Linked DNA regions of Caenorhabditis elegans. The protein of the gene in region 2 purifies or fractionates together with the protein of the main gene of each other region. This does not show direct contact. Each region holds a gene or a part of one and is shown on either strand. Other genes may lie near its edges.

Region 1 (8,172 bases), on a different chromosome or scaffold from region 2:
AATCTGGATTTATTCGGATAATGATCATTCAAGAAGTCTGTTGAATTCTATGATTCTTTATCATAATTCGATGCTAAAACTTCTACAAAAAAATTTTCCGCTCCGAAGTCATCTAGGTTCGATTGCACTTTTTTCAAAGTTTTAATCCGCCAACGCTCATTTTTCGATAATTTGGCTAATCGACTGCTTCACCCAAAAGGTCGAAGGTTTGTTTCTTGTTGCAAAAACATTTGCTCGCTTCTCCTTTTCCATCTCTATGTTTTTCTGCACCTCTCTCGGGCTGCGGCGGTGACGGAAAACCGCAAATTATTCATCTGCAGCAACGTCTTCACGGAAATGAATGGAGCACGCCGCCGCTGACGAATTTTTTTTGTGTGCTCCATTTCTAGGGCCCCCGTTCCTCGACAACTTGTAGATCATTTTTTATTACCCGTGAGACGTCACTTTTTCATGGTGGCCGAGTTTTCTAAATCTCGGCCGGTAGCCCATGAAACTTGCCTGCTACAAATTGGTGAAGCCGATTTTTCGAGAAAATGTGGCCACAAGCCATCCGATATTCCTAGAATCCCCCTTAAAAAATGCACCTGGAGAAGAATCTATTTCCGATGGCATTCACCTCTAATCCTCATCCAATTTTTTGACACCGAAGACCTTCATGATAATTATGAAGCCCTTCGGCGGTTTTTTTTCCGAACAATGAGACATGAACTTCCTGGCAGTGCCACCCGCAATAATATCCTCTTTCTCTGAAAATCAGAAGAGCTTCTCATTTACTACTCATTTGGTTTTTTTTTCTGTTCATCTCTTAGGAGCTCAGAGCACAATAATGCTCTCTGTCTAGAATCTCAGGTGTTCATTAGCGTTTACGGCTCGAGGGAGCAATTGAAATTTGAAAGAAGCCTATAATCTTTTTTGAGCTCACTCAAAAATGCTCTGCAAAACCTTTATGTAAACTGGAGAAGGTGCTGACACACAGAAACACACACACACACACACACACACACACACACACACACACACACACACACACACACACACACACACATATGATCTGAAGCTTCAGCTCCTTGACCATGATATTTGAGCCATTTTTTGGGGGTGGCTAAGCCAGAGAGCCGCCACAAAAAAGATGTGACTTGTGGTTTAAGTGACTGGCTTCTCCCCATAGCCTTTTTGCCGCACATAAATGGAGATTTTAATACAATTATTATCAATTTATTAATCCCCCGGCCGGCAGATTCCAAGGAGCAGAAGTCGATGTGTGTGTGTTTCAGTTTTAGTTTCAGAGCAGCAGGATTAGGAGAGAAGACGAAGAGGCTAACAGGAAATTGGTGACAGGAAATCGTTTGATTTTTTTGTTGAATAGGATTTCTATGCAAACCGGAGTTTACTATTTTTTTTTGTTAAGCTCACAGGTGACACTGATGTCATTTTTTTGTATTTTTAAATGTTCTTTAGCGATTGGTTGGGTGCAATTCAGTTTGCCGATTTGCCGATTTGCCGATTTGCCGGAAAAAATCGCTTGCCGCCCACCCCTGGTGCAATTTGAAAATTGCGAAGTTTTCTAAAATTCTGCAAATTCGGAAATAACCGATTTTAGGAATTATCGGCATTTTGTCATTAAAAGTTATTGGCAAACTTGGCATCTTCCGACATTGCCGAACTTTGTAAAGTGCCACAAGTTGACAATTGGCGCACTTTCAAGCCCAAAAACAATTTGGCGCTTGAAAAAAATGCCCATCTCGGATGTTTTCTACAATTCTGCAAAATCGGAAATAACCGATTTCAGGAATTGTTGGATATAAATTATTACTATTAATATACTATTGGCAAAATTGCCAATTTCGAATCTTTCGGAAAATCGGCAATTGTGGAACCTACAGACTGATTCGACGATCGTTTGAAAAAAGGCAACTTCTGATTTGTTCGACAAACTTGGCCACTCTTTTTAAGTTTTAAAATATTCGGTGAACTGCAAGTTGTTTAATAGCCGAATTCTAAAACAACACTGTTGCCAATCAATATATTTATTTCCCAGAACCCATATCCCCCAACAAAACACAAATTGCGGTCAACTCTATCCAAAGAGCAACATACTCTTTTTTTTTCTCTCTGAAAAGAGGTAGAGGACAACAAGTTGTGGGTGGTGGTGAGATATCTCTTCGTCTTCCGCTCTCTTCAATATCTCACTGAATTACTCGAGTAGAGAGCTGGTGGTGGTGGGGGCGGAGTCAGCAGCCATTACCACCCCCACCTCAAAAGAGGGGGGGGGGGGGAGGAAAAGAAATCTGATATGGACCGTTTTCCCTCCATTTCTCTTCTTTTTTTCAACATCATCATCATCATCTTGAAGGTGGTTCTTGTGCCCCTCTCTCTGTGTATGTGTGTGTGTGTATGTGTGTGCTTGATTTAATTAGAAATGAGCACCCGACCTCCACCCTCAGAACATTGGTTTTAGGTCGTCTCTTCTCTGAATACTAAGCAGATTAGCAGCAGAGAGTCTTTCTGTGCTATTGGATGTTTTGTAATCAGCACAACTTCATAGACTTCATAGATCTTTTTCTATAGTTTCCAAAGTTTGGTTTAAAGAGAATCTCACACCTCTCTTGGAATTTGAGTTTTTTATACAACTTTAAAGGTGGTTTAGTCGAATTTTTTTCATTGCCTTATTAGACTCAAAATTGTCTGAAAACACCGAATTTCATAATGAAGCATCTTGAAAACTTTTCATAAAAAAGTTATGACGGCTCAAAAAATGGCCTAAAATTAGTTAAAATTTGGAATTTGACCAACTTATCAATGTCGCAGCGGCAACATTTTTTTTTGAAATCACCGTTAAATTTTAAGTATACAAGTTGATTATCTTGCGTTTTAAACTTGATTAAGGTTTTTAAAAATCGATGGACGGCGAAACTTTTAATTTTTTAAATCCAAAACTCGCCGTCCATCGACTTTTAAATACCTTAATTAAGTTTAAAACGCAAGATAATCAACTTGTATACTCAAAATTTAACGGTAATTTCAAAAAAAATTGTTTCCAGCCGCTACGACATTGAGAAGTTGGTCAAATTTCCGATTTTAACTAATTTAGGCCATTTTTTGAGCCGTCATAACTTTTTTCTGAAAAGTTTTCAAGAAGTTTCATTATGAAATTCGGTGTTTTCAGACAATTTTGAATCTAATAAGGCAATAAAAAAATTCGACTACACCACCTTTAACCCCGCCCACTTCCTGGTTATTTCGCAGACTTTCTTCCATATTGAGCTATTCTGAATATAAATTTTGGAATTTTTTCTGAACTAGTTTGGATTTTGCGGTGTCAATTAAAGTTTTTTTGTAAAATCACTTTACTGATACTACCGACATTAAGACTATGACCTTGGGATCCTACTAAAGATATCATAATCACTAATTAGACGTTAATCCTTTATAGCAAACATCTAAATGATCAAACTATGATCTTTCAACATTCCCACGATGCCTTGCATTTTTCTCATGTAAGGAGTATGAAGCTTCTCACGTGGCAACTGCAGATCAACAAGCTTTGTTTTGCCAAATATTCACAAATTTGTAGGTACCCGCGGTGATTCATGATGGGACAATTTATATTAGAAATTTATAAGATCAGAATAGTCAGTCAGACACATTTATTCTCGAAATTAATATTCCATTCTTTTTTATCGTTCCTCTTCAATGATTTTTCACATCTCTCCGCTTCATTACCTCCTCTTATTGATCTTTCAACAAAAAAAAAACTTCTCGCACGAGCTTCAGAGGGCGCCACGTCTTCGTCTTCACCACTTCCACCGGCGTCGACGGCGACGCTCTCCGCGTTCCGACCGCCGGCAAGAATGATTCCGCCGCCGGTGGTTCTTCCACAGCAATATGCGCCACTGCCGGGCTTCACACCACTTTTGCCAGCTCAAGCAATGATGGCGAATTTCCCGCCAAATGCGCTCTACCAGTTAGGCACCCCACCGTTCGAGAATGGAAATAATCGGATTCGGTTCAAAGATGCTGCCATGGTCGTTCTGAGCAGACTATCATTTAATCAGAGAAGGTTAGATAATGCACATCAATGAGTCATGGTATTCTCATTAGCGTGAAATTTGAACACATGGGAATTAAAATATTCAAACCCCAAACCATAAGTACTAATCCTCTCGAAAGTTACCTACAAAAATCGTGCTTTTGTATTCAAACAAATAAGTATATATACATATATATATATATCTGCGTTGCGTTATTGACCATATTTATATAAAATGTTATTCAACCTCTGAATTTACATATTACTACGTTTTTAACACAATTATCAACTTAAACGTTCTCAAACTGTGAAAAAGGTTCGGAAGTAGTTTGAGGCCTATTAAAAAGTGTTACTACTTAGTTGATCACTGATATAATTAAAATATTATCCCAAACTTGAGGTTTTTTTGAAAAGGACACATAAATCACTAGTATTTTATCAATTACTCAATAAGAATCTCTGCTGAGCCTAGACCTAGCTAGCAGCCGAGCCTAGCTGCTAAGCCTAGGCATATCGATCAGTTTAGAAAACCAATTGCGACCCGGTTGCTCGTGTCAAACGAGCTCCCATTTCCGTTCCCCCGAAGATAATCGGTTGACCCACCACATTCGAGTTGCTCCGGAGTCCGGATATCCTTCCGGAACACCTTCAACATCTATTGTTAGTGCTCTCCGGGCTCTGCGGAAAAACACGTCGTCGTCGTCAATCAAACGTCATTGACCTCGAAAAGACATTTGGGTTCTCGCCGCTTGGTGCATAAATAAAAAATTTCACACACACTATGATGTGAGCATTTTCGAGTTTTTGTATCAAAATGACGCACTTTTGAGTCAGTTAAAGCCGATTTGAAGCCGCTGTGATGAACTGAACGAAATTAAAACATATAGAATACAAAATGATTACAACAATCAGTCAGAAGTGTGAATAATAATGCTATATAGTAAAGGATAATATAATTTTATATAGATTTTTATTAAAAAATGCAATAAAACATATTAGACATGCCGTACTAATAGAGGAGTACAAGTAATTTAGAAAACTATTGAATTTTCATCGAAATGGTTCTCTCTGGTTTTTAAACTGAAATGATTTTTATCGAAAAATAAAGAATTTGAAATTTCAGCGTTTTTTAAAGGCGCATAGGCGAAAAACGCAAAATTTAGCAGCTGAGTATTATTCAACCCATTATATTCAACCCAGGGATGGGCTACAAAGGATTTTTTTTCCGGAAAATCGGCAACTTGCCGGAATTGAAATTTCTGGCAAAACGGCACATTGTCGGAATTTAAATTTGTGGAAAATCGGCACATTGCCGGAATTTAAATTTGTGGAAAATCGGCAAATTGCCGGCAATTAAGATTTCCCGCAATTTGCCGAATCGCCGAATTTGTCGACAAAAAAATTTGTGAATTTCAAAATTGCCCATCTTGCTAATATTTATTCGTCACTCATAAAGTAATTAAAATTCTATTTTTAAAAATTTCTCTCTCATCGCGACGTAAGAAAACAAGACACAAGGTGTTGTACCTGATGACGTCACTGATCATTTTCGTTCATTTTTATCAGCGATTATCAGTTTCTCCACCGTCTTTTTTTGCCACCCCGCTGACGTCATAGTTTACTCCTTTTTCCTTCAGCGGCGCGGCACTGCAAGAGATGCGAATTTAAGTTTTTTTGTTTTGAGTATTATGCTTTTGATGGCTGAAAATGTCGACGAGCTTGTTGTCCAGGTAGGGTGATAGTGATTGAAATTTTTTAGGTTCTCATTTGAAATATTAAAGTGTTAAAAATAATAAAATCAATAATTTCAGCATGATCCTCAAAGATCTAGAAACGGCGGATAAGGTGATGAAGAAGGAGCCGGAGGAGACGCCGCCGTCCAGTGTAGATGCTTCACCATTACAGGTAATAAGGATAGTCTAGAGCAGGGGTGCGCTGGGATATTTCGGCATTTTCTGGGTTTTGAAATTTTTAAAAATTAGAAATTTCGGAATTTGATGGTGTTTTTAAAATGATATATATATATCATTTACTATATATAAAGCGCTTATTCCGTTTGTCCATAGTTTGTAGTCTATGTAGTTTTTGTAGTCTGTGAAGTTTTAGCTTCTGGAGGGATAGTGAGTTGGGCTTAGTGTAGGGATATAGTCGGGGTACTGTAGTGGTACAATAATGGTACAGTAGGAATACTGTAGGGTTACGGTAGTTTCAGAAAAAATATTTTTCAGCCCCAGAAGCCGGGGGGCTTCCATGGTAGGCAGGCTCGGTTTCAGGGCCTGCCTGAAACCTGCCCGCCAGCCTTTCGCCTATTTTCTGCACTTTGACGTGAATTTTCAAATTTGCAAATTTCTATTAATTTGTTAAAAATCAAATTAAGAAAGGAAAACAATGTGCATTGTTGTGAGGCGAGAGGCATGCCAAGGCCAGGCAGGCAGGCGTTCTAGCGCCTACCTAGTTAGTTGCCTTTGAGAGTTTTGAACTAGAAAAAAGTTGGTCAGAAAAAAAAATTCCTGACTTTTTTTTTGAATGAAACCTTAAATTGTAGAAATTGAAGGACTAAACAAGCACGTAAATATACAACACTAACTTAATTTTTTTGTTTTAAATTTAAATTCCATGCCTACGGGTTTCCGTGGAACGATTAAAACATAGGGAATTAATATGAAAAAAAAACACTGAATACACGAAAATTGAAAATAAAAAGGATGAGCAATCCTCATTGTATATTTACGATTAAAGGTGGTGTAGTCGAATTGTTTTTATTGCCTTATTAGACTCAAAATTGTCTGAAAACACCGAATTTTATAATGAAACTTCTTGAAAACTTCTCAAAAAAAAAGTTATGACGGCTCAAACAATGACCTAAAATTAGTTAAAATCGGAAATTTGACTTGCCAAGCGTCTGGAAACAATTTTTTTAAAATCACCGTCAAATTTCGAGTATACAAGTTGATTACCTTGCGTTTTAAACTTGATTAAGGTATTTAAAAGTCAATGGACGGCGAGATTTTTAATTTTTTAAAACCAAAACTCGCCGTCAATCGATTTTTAAATACCTTAATCAAGTTTAAAACGCAAGATGATCAACTTCTATACTCAAAATTTGACGGTGATTTCAAAAAAAAAAATGTTTCCAGCCGCTTGGCAAGTCAAATTTCCGATTTTAACTAATTTTAGGTCATTTTTTGAGTCGTCATAACTTTTTTCTGGAAAGTTTTCAAGAAGTTTCACTATGAAATTCGATGTTTTCAGGCAATTTGGGCCTAATAAGGCAATTTTAAAAAAATTCGCCTACACCACCTTTAATAGTAAGGAAGGACTAATGCTAAATATTCCTATACTCTTTTTTTTCGAACTTCCAGAAAACCACACCTTTTCTAAAACATCTGCACGTCCAACTCCACCCTCACCTCGAAAATGTCAGGGTCTCCTGAAATCGAATTTAAATAAAAATGAAGCATTCAAAAAAAAACACCTGCATCTAATTCAATACACACCTGGAAAAAGTTTCCTTTCTTTTTGACATTTAAGCTTTTCGATGTTTAACTGAGTATCCTAGGAGAAGTGACAATCGAGGAGGTGGGTATTTAAGTAGTTACGGGTTAGGAGATTATGGAAAAGTGTTTAGATATACTTATTCAGCTGAGCTAGAAAAATAAGAATAATGATATTATTTAATGGGGTGAGTTTTTTTTTTTTGGTGTTAAGAAACATTTTTTTTTTGAACGTTGGAGAACTGTTTTAACTTTAAAGGGCCGGTCGGCAAATCCCGCGAATCCCGCAAATTGCCGGTTTGCCGATTTGCCGGAAATTTTTAATTCCGACAATTTTCCGATTTGCCGGAAATTTTCAAATCCGGCAATTTTCCGATTTGCCAGAAATTTTCAATTCCGGCAATTTGCCGATTTGCCGGAAATTTTCAAATCCGGCAAATTGGCGATTTGCCGGAAATTTTCAATTCCGGCAATTTGCCGATTTGCCGGAAATTTTCGATTCCGGCAATTTGCCGATTTGCCGGAAATTTTCAATTCCGGCAATTTGCCTTTGCCGAAAATTTTCGATTCCGGCAATTTGCCGATTTGCCGAAATCTTTCAATTCCGAAAAATTGCCGATTTGCCGGAAATTTTCAATTCCGGCAATT
Region 2 (11,348 bases):
GTGAGACCCATCGTGGTGAGACCCACCGTGGTGAGACCCATCGTGGTGAGACCCATCGTGGTGAGACCCATCGTGGTGAGACCCATCGTGGTGAGACCCATCGTGGTGAGACCCATCGTGATGAGACCCATCGTGGTGAGACCCTTCGTGGTGAGACCCATCGTGGTGAGACCCATCGCGGTGAGACCCATCGTGACGATACCTTTCGTGGTGAGACCCATCGTGGTGAGACCCATTGTGGTGAGACCCATCGTGGTGAGACCCATCGTGGTGAGACCCTTCGTGGTGAGACCCTTCGTGGTGAGACCCATCGTGACGAGACCCATCGTGACGAGACCCATCGTGGTGAGACCCATCGTGATGAGACCCATCGTGGTGAGACCCTTCGTGGTGAGACCCAAATTTTTGGCGGGAAATTCAAATTTTCAGTGAAAAAAATTTTGGCGGGAAATTCAAATCAGTGAAAAAAAATTTTGGCGGGAAATTCAAATTTTCAGTGAAAAAGTTTTGGCGGGAAATTCAAATTTTCTGTGAGAAAAATTTTGGGGGAAATTCAAATTTTCAGTGAAAAAAATTTTGGCGGGAAATTCAAATTTTCAGTGAAAAACATTTTGGCGGGAATTTCAAATTTTCAGTGAAAAACATTTTGCCGGGAAATTCAAATTTCTGAGAAAAAATTTTTGGCGGGAAATTCAAATTTTCTGAGAAACTTTTTGTTAGCTTAAGTACCACCTGGAACTGGCGAGACCTATCGTGGTGAGACCCTTAAAAATATGGGCGGGAACTTCAAAATTTATGAGAAAAGAAATTTTAGCGGGAAATTCAAATTTTCTGAGGAAAACATTTGGCGGGAAATCCAAATTTTTGTTCTGGAATCAATTTTTTTGTTTCAGCACCTTCTGGAAGTTTCAAGAAAATTCTAGACTGTTCTAGAATCATCTGGAAAATTTAAAAAAGTTCTGAAATGCTCTACAACCTCCTAAAACTGTAGGAGTTTTTATTTGTTTCGTTACATCTATATTCAAAGAACTTACTATTAGTAGTTAATTATTCAGACTTCTCCAGTTAAGGAAAGTTGTTAACTTATTAAAAAAACTGTAACCCTGTGGAATTTTTTCGAAAGCCTGATAATGATAATGTGTAGTAGAAAAATCAGAACATTCTAACTGTCTCTTTGAATTTTCTGAATAGTATACCATGGAAGGAGAAAATGCGATTTAATCGATGAAGTTTCAATTTTTTTTAATGAGACATTTTTGAATGATTAAAAGGACATCTATTTGTTATACATTTTAAACTCCGCCAGTCGTTGGCCGCGCCGGAGGCGCGGTCATCGGCTGGTTATCGAATAAAATGTCACGATTTGAAGTTTCGAAGTTTGTAGTTTGTAGTCTAGCAGACCAATTTTCAATACATCTCTGGAGTCACTTGGATTTCTCTGAAAAATATTTTTTAAAAATGAGGAATATTTGGAGATTAGAAGTGAAAATTTTGTAAAAATTGCTTTAAATCGAGATTTTCCAGGCTAAGGAGTTAATTTTCAGTGAGAAAACCGTCTGAAAACGCAAAAAATCCAAGTTTTTCAATTAAAAAACCCATTGGTCTGCTAAATCGAAATTTGTAGTTTGTAGCCTAGCAGACCCATTCTCTTCAAAATCACTTGGGTCTGCTAAATCGAAATTTGTAGTTTGTAGCCTAGCAGACACTTGAATCATCTGATTTGTCTGAAATTCTGAAAAAATTCGCGTTTGATTTGACTGTGAAACAACAAAAAAAAATCGAATTTCTAACTCAAAATTTACTCACAATTTCAAAATTCACACGATTTTCCCGCTAGAATGCCGAGAAAAACGTGGTTGAGAGAGGTGATTTAACAGAAAAAGACGAAAAAAAAGGGCGCGGAAAATTATAATTTTGAAGAATTCGAAGAATCTAATGTTGCTTCATTTGGTATGGTGGAATGAGTCCGGATGTCTCGGCGCGAGCCTTCTTCTCTGCCTCGATCTCGTCCAAATATGGCTTCAAGTACCACGATTCCTGAAGAAAAATAGATTTTTTAAAGTTGAATTTCGAGTGAAAAGCTACCTGATCCCATTGAGTCCATTCAGCCTTTGGAAGCTTCTCGCCGTGGAGAGCCAAAGTGTGGGCACGTGAAAGACGGATCTGAAGTAAAAAAAGATTGAAAATTCCAATTTTTAATCGATTTTCTCACCTTTCTCTGATCGAAAACGTGTGGCTCCTGGAGATTAAGGCGTCTGAGAGCCTCGGTGACTTCTGGAGCCGGCTCAAAGTAGGTGTCGTGGAATTGGAGCCCGTACTCGCGTCCTCCCCACAAGTTGCTCCATGCGAACTTGCGAAGCGTGCTGGCGATCGTGCCGTTGTAGGCGAAGGTGACGGCTTTTGAGGCGGCTTGACTGGCCATTTCGTTACCTGAAAAGAAAAAAATAAAAGAAAATTAGTGGGGAATTCTGGGGAAAAGCTGAAGAAAAACTGAAAAAATACAAGTTTTCACATGTTTTTCGGGAAATATCGATTTTTAGCTCAATTTCTCGGATTTTAAATGATTTTCTTGAGATTTTTTACATAAAGTCACTTATAACAAGCAAAAAATTAGGCAAAAATGCACAATTATCATTGAAAACTCTTAAAAATCCGGCAAAAACAAAGATAATGCAAAAAATTCTCAAAAATCAGATTCCAAGCGATTTCTCGAGTTATTTTACAAATTTACGCATTAAAACTGTCAGAAAACCTCATAAAGCTGATTTTTGTGCTTAAAATGCAAAAAAAATCGGAATTTCCAGCTAAAAATCAAAGAAAACCGAATGAAAAGGAAAATTATGAATTCGGCGGTGTCGCTAAACAACACGCAGGGTGTTATTTCGGAGCATCGTTGTGAACAAATTTTTGGAAATTAATTTTCTCAAGCTTTCAAGCATTGAGAACCTAATTTTTTGAAGTTAAAATACACATTTTATGATGGTTTTTTCTAATAAACTAAAGAAAAATTTCATAGGAATCGATTAAAGGGAAATTGAAGTATTTTATTTTTAACTAACGCCATGTAGCAGATAGATAATATGTTTTTTCAAAGTTTACTATGTTAAAATACTCCTTAGAACTTGATGAATTCAGATTTTTCACCAGAAACGTTGCCGGATGAGTATTTTGTGAAAAAAAAATAAGAAAATTGGCTGAAGTTTGATTTACGGTAAACAACACGCGCCTCGTTATTTCGGAGCTTCGTTGCAAGTGATTTTTTTTCGATAATTTTTTTTTCGAATTAATTAATTTTTTCATTAAATTGAACCGATTTCTATTGATTTTCTATTTTAAAATTGCGAAAATAAACAAATAAAAAATTTTAGTCGTTAATCTCTCAACTTTCACCCGTCAATTTTAATGTTTTAGGTCAAAAAATGGAGACAGTTATCGAAAATCGGGATTTGGACGGGTTAAAGGAGGTTGTGAAGGCGGAAAAAAAGACTGCGTGAGTTTTTAAAAGAATTATCAGATAAATAATGCAATTTTACAGGAAAGACGACGAATTTGTGCTTCTAAAAGTCGACGGGTTTCTGAAAAAGCGGGGATTCAAGGTCGCCGAGCAGCCTTCAGCCACCAAGGAAGAGCTTGCAAGGCGGCATTTTCATTTTGTGATGAATTGCTCCAAGCTTGGTAATTATTTTCTCGAAATTTCGTTTAAAAATGAGTTTTTTGCAGGTTTGTGCTCCAAAAACACTCCCCTGAGCACTCTACAGGACCTCTTGGAGATGAGCTCAATTGAGGAGTGTAAGCAGATTTTCAGCATAGTAGAAGAGAATATGAACGAGTTTAAGCAGGTAAAAAGCCGGTTTTCAAAGAATTTTCCCGATAAAAAGCGGATTTTTTGCAGCCCGGCTTCATTGAAACCGCCCAGAACAATATTCTACGCTTCTGCAACGATTTGCTCCGCCGCTTGAGTAGAACCGCTGAAACATCGTTCTGCGGAAGAATTATGTTCTTTCTCTCGAGGTAAAAAGCGAAACATTTTCGAAAAATCCCAAAATTTCCTGCGAAAAACTCAATTTTTTCCAGATTCCTCCCGCTAACCGAAAAATCCGGTGTAAACTTTATGGGACACTTCAACACGCTTAACGTTACCAACTACGACGAGGTATTTTTTCGGTTTTTGGACTGAAAAATCGCAAAAAATCGCAAAATTTCAGTCTGAAACCGACGGTGAAGCTCTTCTCGCTGCCACGTCATCGGCTCCAACACCTACGGAAGGAGCAGAGGATATGGAAACTGGAGAAATCGAAGAGGATAACTCAAAGTACGGAAAAATCGGAAAAAAGCGAGAAATTTCCACTGAAAAATATCATTTACCTGAATTTTTTGGGTCTGCTAGACTACAAACTACAAATTTCGATTTAGCAGACCCATGTGGTTTTGAAGAGAATGGGTCTGCTAGACTACAAACTACAAGTTTCGATTTAGCAGACCCATGTGGTGTTGTAGAGAATGGGTCTGCTAGACTACAAACTACAAATTAGCAGACCAAATGGTTTTTTAATTGAAAAACTTGGATTTTCAGCGATTTCAGACGGTTTTCGTACTGAAAATTGACTTTTTAAGCTAGAAAATCGCAGTTTTGAGCATTTTTTACATGATTTTTCGAATATTTGCTCATTTTTCAGAGAAATCCAAGTAACTCCCGAGATGTATCGCCAGTTTTGGTCCCTTCAAAAATTCATGTCAAATCCGAATTCAATATACGAAAAGGAGAAGTTTTTGACGTTTAAAACGGTAATTTTTCGCTGAAAATCACTGAAAATTGAGGTTTTTTGGCCGGAAAAATCGCTGAAATTCCACAAATTCTAACTGAAAATCGCCAAAAATCCCTTTTTTTCAGGATTTGACAGCAGTTCTCACCCTAATGACGTCGAATAAGCTGGAAAAACTCTCCTCCGAAGAGGAAGAAGCTCTGGAAAATCGACAGAAAAAGCAGCAAAAAGGATCCAGTAACGACGTGTTTTTTACCAAATATTTGACGTCTCCAAAGGTAAAATTGGCTGGAAAATTGATGAAAATCGATTTAAAAATGATTGAAAACTGGAAAAAATGATTTAAAAAAGCTGAAAAACGCTGAAAAATGACCAAAATTCCCACTAAATCATCGATTTTCTCCCAGAATTCCCCCAAAAATCTCAAAATTTTTATTTTTTTTCCAGCTTCTCGCCCTCCAACTCAACGATTCTTCATTCCGACGGTACTTTTTAATGCAGGCGATCATTATTTTTCAATATTTGACAGCAGAATCTCGATTTAAACCCCCGGCAAAGTGAGTTTTCGACCGAAAAATCGAGGTTTTGACCTAAAAATTGCGATTTTTGAGTCAAAAACCGTATTTTTTGACCGATTTTCAGCAGAAAATATGATTTTTTGACCGGAAAATTGCGATTTTTGAGTCAAAAACTGCACTTTTTGACCGATTTTCAGTAGAAAATATGATTTTTTTGACCTAAAAATTACTTTTTTTTAAAGTCAAAAACTCTATTTTTGACCGATTGTCAGCAGAAAATATGATTTTTTTGACCTAAAAATTGCTTTTTTTTTTAGTCAAAAACTGTATTTTTGACCGATTTTCAGTAGAAAATATGATTTTTAATCAAAAAAATTTCCAGAAAAATGGTGCTAAACGAGGATCAAGCGAAATATGTGTCAGAATGTGAGGATAAATGCTATAGATTGCTGGCTGATACGATGCCACGTGGCACTGCATTCGTTGCCGGGCTCAAGCGAATTATGCTCCGCGAGCAGGAGTGGAATACGTGGAAAAATGCGAATTGTGCAGATTTTTCCGAAAAAGCCGATAAAGGAGCCATGCAGATGTACAAAAAGTGCGGAAAAATTTGAATTTTTAGCTGAAAATCGTGAAATTTACCGAAAAAAATTGATTTTTAAGCTGAAAAATCGCAGGAAAAGCTGGAATTTCCAGCTGAAAATGTAATTTTTGGCTAAAAATTCCCATTATTGTGGTGAAAAATTGCTGAAAAGAGAAATTCTTGGCGGAAAATCTTGATGTTTGCCGAAAAAAAATTTTTTAAGCTGAAAATTGGAAAAAAAGTAGCAATTTTTAGCTACAAAAGCTGAAAAAACCCACTATTAAGGTGAAAAATTAGAAAAAATTGAATTTTTTAGCTGAAAATCAAGAAATGGATTTTTAACTATTAGATTTAAGAAATTTGGAATTTTCAGCTGAAAATATCCATTTTGTGCTGAAAATTGCACAGTTTCAGCGGAAATTTGAGAAAAAAAAAGATTTTTAGCTGAAAATCTTGAAATTTTCCGAAAAAGTTGATTTTTATGCTGAAAATTAGACAAAGTTGTGATTTTCATCTGAAAATATCCATTTTTGCAGTGAAAATTGCACAGTTTCAGCGGAAATTTGAGAAAAAAAAAAGATTTTTAGCTGAAAATCTTGAAATTTTCCGAAAAAGTTGATTTTTAGGCTGAAAATTAGACAAAGTTGTGATTTTCATCTGAAAATATCCATTTTTGCAGTGAAAATTGCACAGTTTCAGCGGAAATTTGAGAAAAAAAAAAGATTTTTAGCTGAAAATCTTGAAATTTTCCGAAAAAGTTGATTTTTAGGCTGAAAATTAGACAAAGTTGTGATTTTCATCTGAAAATATCCATTTTTGCAGTGAAAATTGGCAATTTTAAGCTAGAAAAGCTGAAAATACCCATTATTGTGGTGAAAAATTTTAAATACATATAATTTTTAGCTGAAAATCTTGAAATTTTCCGAAAAAAATTGATTTTTAAGCTGAAAATTGAAAAAAGTTGTAATTTTCATATGAAAATATCCATTTCTGCAGTGAAAAATGCACATTTTCAGCGGAAAATTGAAAAAAAAAATCTCAAAATCTCAGAAAAAAAATTCCCCCCAATTTCCAGACGGCAACGCATTCCATTCAACCCAAATTCTCTCGATCTTGGAACTCCTGAGCTCACAAAACTCTGGACAAATGAGCCCGATGTGCTCAAAGCCTGTAAATCGGATAAGAGGTATGTAGGCTTGAAATTGGAGAAAATTGAAGAAAATTGCAGAAAATTGCATAAAATTACAGAAAATTACAGAAAATTACGGAAAAATCAAGCTTAATCTCGAAAAATTCCAAAACCAGTTTTTTTTTTGCAAAAATTTAGTTTTAAAAGCATGTTTTATATCTCAAAACCTCAAAATATGTAGATAGAAGCTTAAATAAAAGTTTAAATTCCAGAAAATTCATCCCAAAACTGCCGGATTTCATTCGCGATCCGATTGACGAGATGGATCCCGAGCAGCAAGTCGAGGAGCAGTATAAGTGAGTTTTTGACAGAAAATATCACGATTTTCGACTAAAAATCGCTGAAATTTCATGATTTTTAGCTGAAAATATGTGAAATTTCACGTTTTTCCACTGAAAACCCCCTACTTTTTCCAGACAAATCAACGATAGCGCATTCCAATGGCGAGCCGCCCGTCTCCTAATGCACAAATCTCCGGGATACGTGACAAAAACCGACACAAAAACCGATCCGACGACTAATATCAAGGAATTTTTGGAGAGAAATATGTATAATGCGGCAAAGAATTTTAATGTAAGCCTGAAAATTGGCTGAAAATCAGCTAAAAAACTGCATTTTTTGCCTGAAATTTACTGAAAAAGCGCTGAAAACCTGCCAGAATTTCCCAAAAATCGACAATTTTTCAGGAATTCAAGGAATCGATCGAGAATCGTGAGAAAAAGGAGGCAGAAGCTCGGAAAAAAGTGGAAGAATCGCTCAAAAGGAAGCTCGATTCGTCAAAAGTGAAGCCAAGGTGCTTAAAAACTGAAAATCGGCTGAAATTCAGCTAAAAATCGTATATTTTCCATGATTTTTCAGCTTTTTCCATCAAAAATCAGCTCTTAAAGTCGATTTTTAACTGTAAAAATCACAAATTTCTACATTTTTCCATTAAAAACGGCTGAAATCTCATATTTTTGTTGATTTTTCAGCTTTTTCCAGCAAACAGCGATTTTCAACAAAAAAAAACCGCTAAAAATTTGAGTTTTAACGATTTTTAGCCGGAAAAATCGCTGAAAATGCACTTTTTTCAGAAAATTTCACTCAAAATGTCTAGAAAATATGAAAAAAGATCATTTTTTTAGTGTAAAACCCGTAAAAAATCACACAAACCGCCTATTTTCAACGAAAAATTGGATTTTTAACGATTTTCAGAGGAAAAAACCGAAAAAAGCCACAATTTCCAATTTTTTCAGAATTTTCCGCTTTGAAAATTGCTAAAAATTCATTTTTTGCAAGAATAAACGCGGAAAATTCACTGAAAAAATACATTTTTTGAAAAAAAAAAGGTGCATTTTCAGAGATTTTTCCGGCTAAAAATCGCTGAAAATATTGATTTTGAACGATTTTTAGCCTGAAAAATTGCCGAAAATCCGCATTTTTTTGATGGAAAAAATACGAAAAAATCCAATTTCCCACCGATTTTCGACAAAAATCGCTGAAAATTCACTTTTTTTCAGAAAATTTCACGCAAAATGTCTAGAAAATATGAAAAAAGATCATTTTTTAGTTTAGTATAAAACCCGTAAAAAATCACAAAAACTGAAAATCTCGGCGAAAAATCGTATTTTTCCATGATTTTTCAGCTTTTTCCAGCAAAAATTGACTCAGACAACCGATTTTTAACAGTAAAAATCACAAATTTCTATATTTTTCGATTAAAAATGACTGAAATCTCATATTTTTCATGATTTTTCAGCATTTTCCATCAAAAATCGGCTGTAAAAACCGATTTTTAACTGAAAAAATCACAAATTTCTACATTTTTCCATTAAAAATGGCTAAAAATCGTATTTTTCCATGATTTTTCAGCTTTTTCCATTCAAAATCGGCTCAGAAAACCGATTTTTAACTGTAAAAATCACAAATTTCTACATTTTTCCATTAAAAATCGGCAAAGATATTGATTTTGAACGATTTTGAGCCGAAAAATCGCTGAAAATGCATGTTTTTCAGAAAATTTCACTCAAAATGTCTAGAAAATATGAAAAAAAAAGATCAATTTTTTAGTGTAAAACCCGTAAAAATTCATAAAAACTGAAAATCTCGGCCAAAAATAGTATTTTTCCATGATTTTTCAACTTTTTCCATCAAAAATCAGCTCTAAAAATCGATTTTTAACTGTAAAAATAACAAATTTCTACATTTTTCCATTAAAAATGGCTAAAAAGCATATTTCCCATGATTTTTCAGCTTTTTCCATCAAAAATCAGCTCTAAAAATCGATTTTTAACTGTAAAAATCACAAATTTCTACATTTTTCCATTAAAAATGACTAAAAAATCGTATTTTTCCATGATTTTTCAGCTTTTTCCATTCAAAATCGGCTCAGAAAACCGATTTTTAACTGTAAAAATCACAAATTTCTACATTTTTCCATTAAAAGTAGCTGAAATCTCATATTTTCCATGATTTTTCAGCTTTTTCATTCAAAATCAGCTCTAAAAATCGATTTTTAACTCTAAAAATCGCAGAAAATCCCAAATTTTCCATTTTTTCCAGCCAAACATCTTCTCCGAACCCCTACACAGATACAATTCTCTCGGATGAGCATCTCACCCAGTTGGCTCGAGATTTATCGAAATTTAAATCAAATCTCGCGAAATGCTTTGGCACAAAGCTCCCCGCCGATGACGTCACCAGTGATGAGAAGATTTGCTTTAAAATTCTCAAAAGTTGGGCTGAAAAGAATGGGAGAAGCGGGCGGAGTCTGTTGAATACGCTAATTACCGATTTGGATGTGATTGAGGTGGCTCAGGCGAGCATGAAGGTACGGTTTTTCAGCGAAAAAATGAAGAATTTCAGCGAAAAATCATTTTAAAAATGAAATTTAACGCGAAATTTCACAACAACCACATGGGTCTGCTAAATCGAAAATTGTAGTTTGTAGTCTAGCAGACCAGTTTTCATCAAAACCACTTGGGTCTGCTAATTCGAAGTTTGTAGTTTGTAGTCTAGCAGACCCATCCTTTTCAAAGCCACAATGGTCTGCTAAATCGAAACTTGTAGTTTGTAGTCTAGCAGAACCATTCTCTTCGAAACCTTATGGGTCTGCTAAATCGAAATTTGTTGTTTGTAGTCTAGCAGACCACTTTTTTTCAAAATCTCTTGGGTCTGCTAAATAGAAATGTGTAGTTTGTAGTTTAGTAGACCGCTTTTCATCAAAACCACATGGGCCTGCTAAATCGAAATGTGTAGTTTGTAGTCTAGCAGACCCATTTTGAATTCCTTTTTATTAAAAAAAAATAAATTTTGATTAAAAAACATTAATTTTAAAAATATCGAAATTTGCCGCTTTAATAAATCCTTTTTTTCAGAAAATCAACGAATCGACTGCATAATTCGCCTTCAAATTGCTGTAAAATCGGATTTCTTCATTATTTTTCACTTTAACTTATTAATTTTACCCTTAAATTTGTTTTTTTTTCGGTCTCATTGCCTGTTTTTTATTCATTTTTTCTCCTTTTTTTTTCATATCAAAATTTGTATTTTTACTATTTTTTTCTGCAATTTTTTCTTGTTAATGGCGTTTTTCATCGCCGGTTTTAACTTGAAATTTCTAATTTTCAGATTAATTTTAATGCCATTTTCAGCTTAAAAAATGCCTGCATTTTTTGTAAAAGCCGGCGCCAAAAAGAGCGGCGGTGGAGCTGCAGCGACTAGGAAAAGAGTGAGCTTTTCCTTCCTTTTTTCGCCAAAAAATTAAAATTTTTTATAGAAAAATGGTGGAAAATCGGATGCAAAAAGCGAGGAGATGGCCGCCAAAATGTCACGACGTCAGAAGATTATGGCAGCTACGGAAATTCATTCGGATGAGGAGGTTTATTCGCTGAAAAACTGAAAAAAAAAATGAGCAAAAATCGACGGATTTTCCGTTAAAAATCTAAATTTTTAGTGAAAAACTCTTGTTTTTTAACTAAAAAATTAGAAAAATTCAAATTTTTCAATATTTTCTTGTTCCAGGACTCACTCGCCGGAAGCGCCGCAGCATCAGAAGCCGGAAGTGACGTGGAATACGAGGATGCACACGAGAGAAATTATCGAGAAGCCAAGAAGCTTTTGGACAAGATTCAGGTGAAAAATGACTGAAAATCCGGGAATTTCACATCGAAAACCTGCGAAAATTACGAATTTTTCACCAGATTGACTGCTCAAAAATTCAATTTTAAGCTCAAAAATTCAATTTTAGAGCTAAAATTCATTTTTAAGCTCAAAAACCTTAATTTTAAGCTCAAAAATTCCAGATTTTCAGCCCA

What was found.
Region 1: the proteins of thoc-1 (region 2) and crh-1 purify together in Caenorhabditis elegans (affinity purification with western blotting; one study listed by BioGRID). This does not show direct contact.

The regions. Positions count from the first base shown.
Region 1 is NC_003281.10:11,679,369-11,687,540, forward strand, and holds the start of crh-1 (CREB homolog crh-1), read left to right. Parts: upstream 1-3,593; coding exon 3,594-4,060; intron 4,061-5,841; coding exon 5,842-5,935; intron 5,936-8,172. UniProt on the Caenorhabditis elegans protein: Transcription factor. Transcriptional activity probably positively regulated by phosphorylation. Modulates expression of target genes, acting by binding to regulatory cAMP response elements (CRE).
Region 2 is NC_003280.10:698,696-710,043, forward strand, and holds thoc-1 (Death domain-containing protein), read left to right. Parts: upstream 1-3,411; 5' UTR 3,412-3,419; coding exon 3,420-3,490; intron 3,491-3,535; coding exon 3,536-3,675; intron 3,676-3,720; coding exon 3,721-3,839; intron 3,840-3,892; coding exon 3,893-4,011; intron 4,012-4,074; coding exon 4,075-4,153; intron 4,154-4,205; coding exon 4,206-4,312; intron 4,313-4,676; coding exon 4,677-4,785; intron 4,786-4,891; coding exon 4,892-5,041; intron 5,042-5,210; coding exon 5,211-5,320; intron 5,321-5,663; coding exon 5,664-5,879; intron 5,880-6,939; coding exon 6,940-7,050; intron 7,051-7,265; coding exon 7,266-7,349; intron 7,350-7,469; coding exon 7,470-7,626; intron 7,627-7,739; coding exon 7,740-7,846; intron 7,847-9,594; coding exon 9,595-9,913; downstream 9,914-11,348. Other genes in the region: T02H6.11 (Cytochrome b-c1 complex subunit 7), read right to left, coding at 1,933-2,037, 2,086-2,163, 2,213-2,422; T02H6.1 (WD_REPEATS_REGION domain-containing protein), read left to right, coding at 10,694-10,762, 10,811-10,912, 11,056-11,166.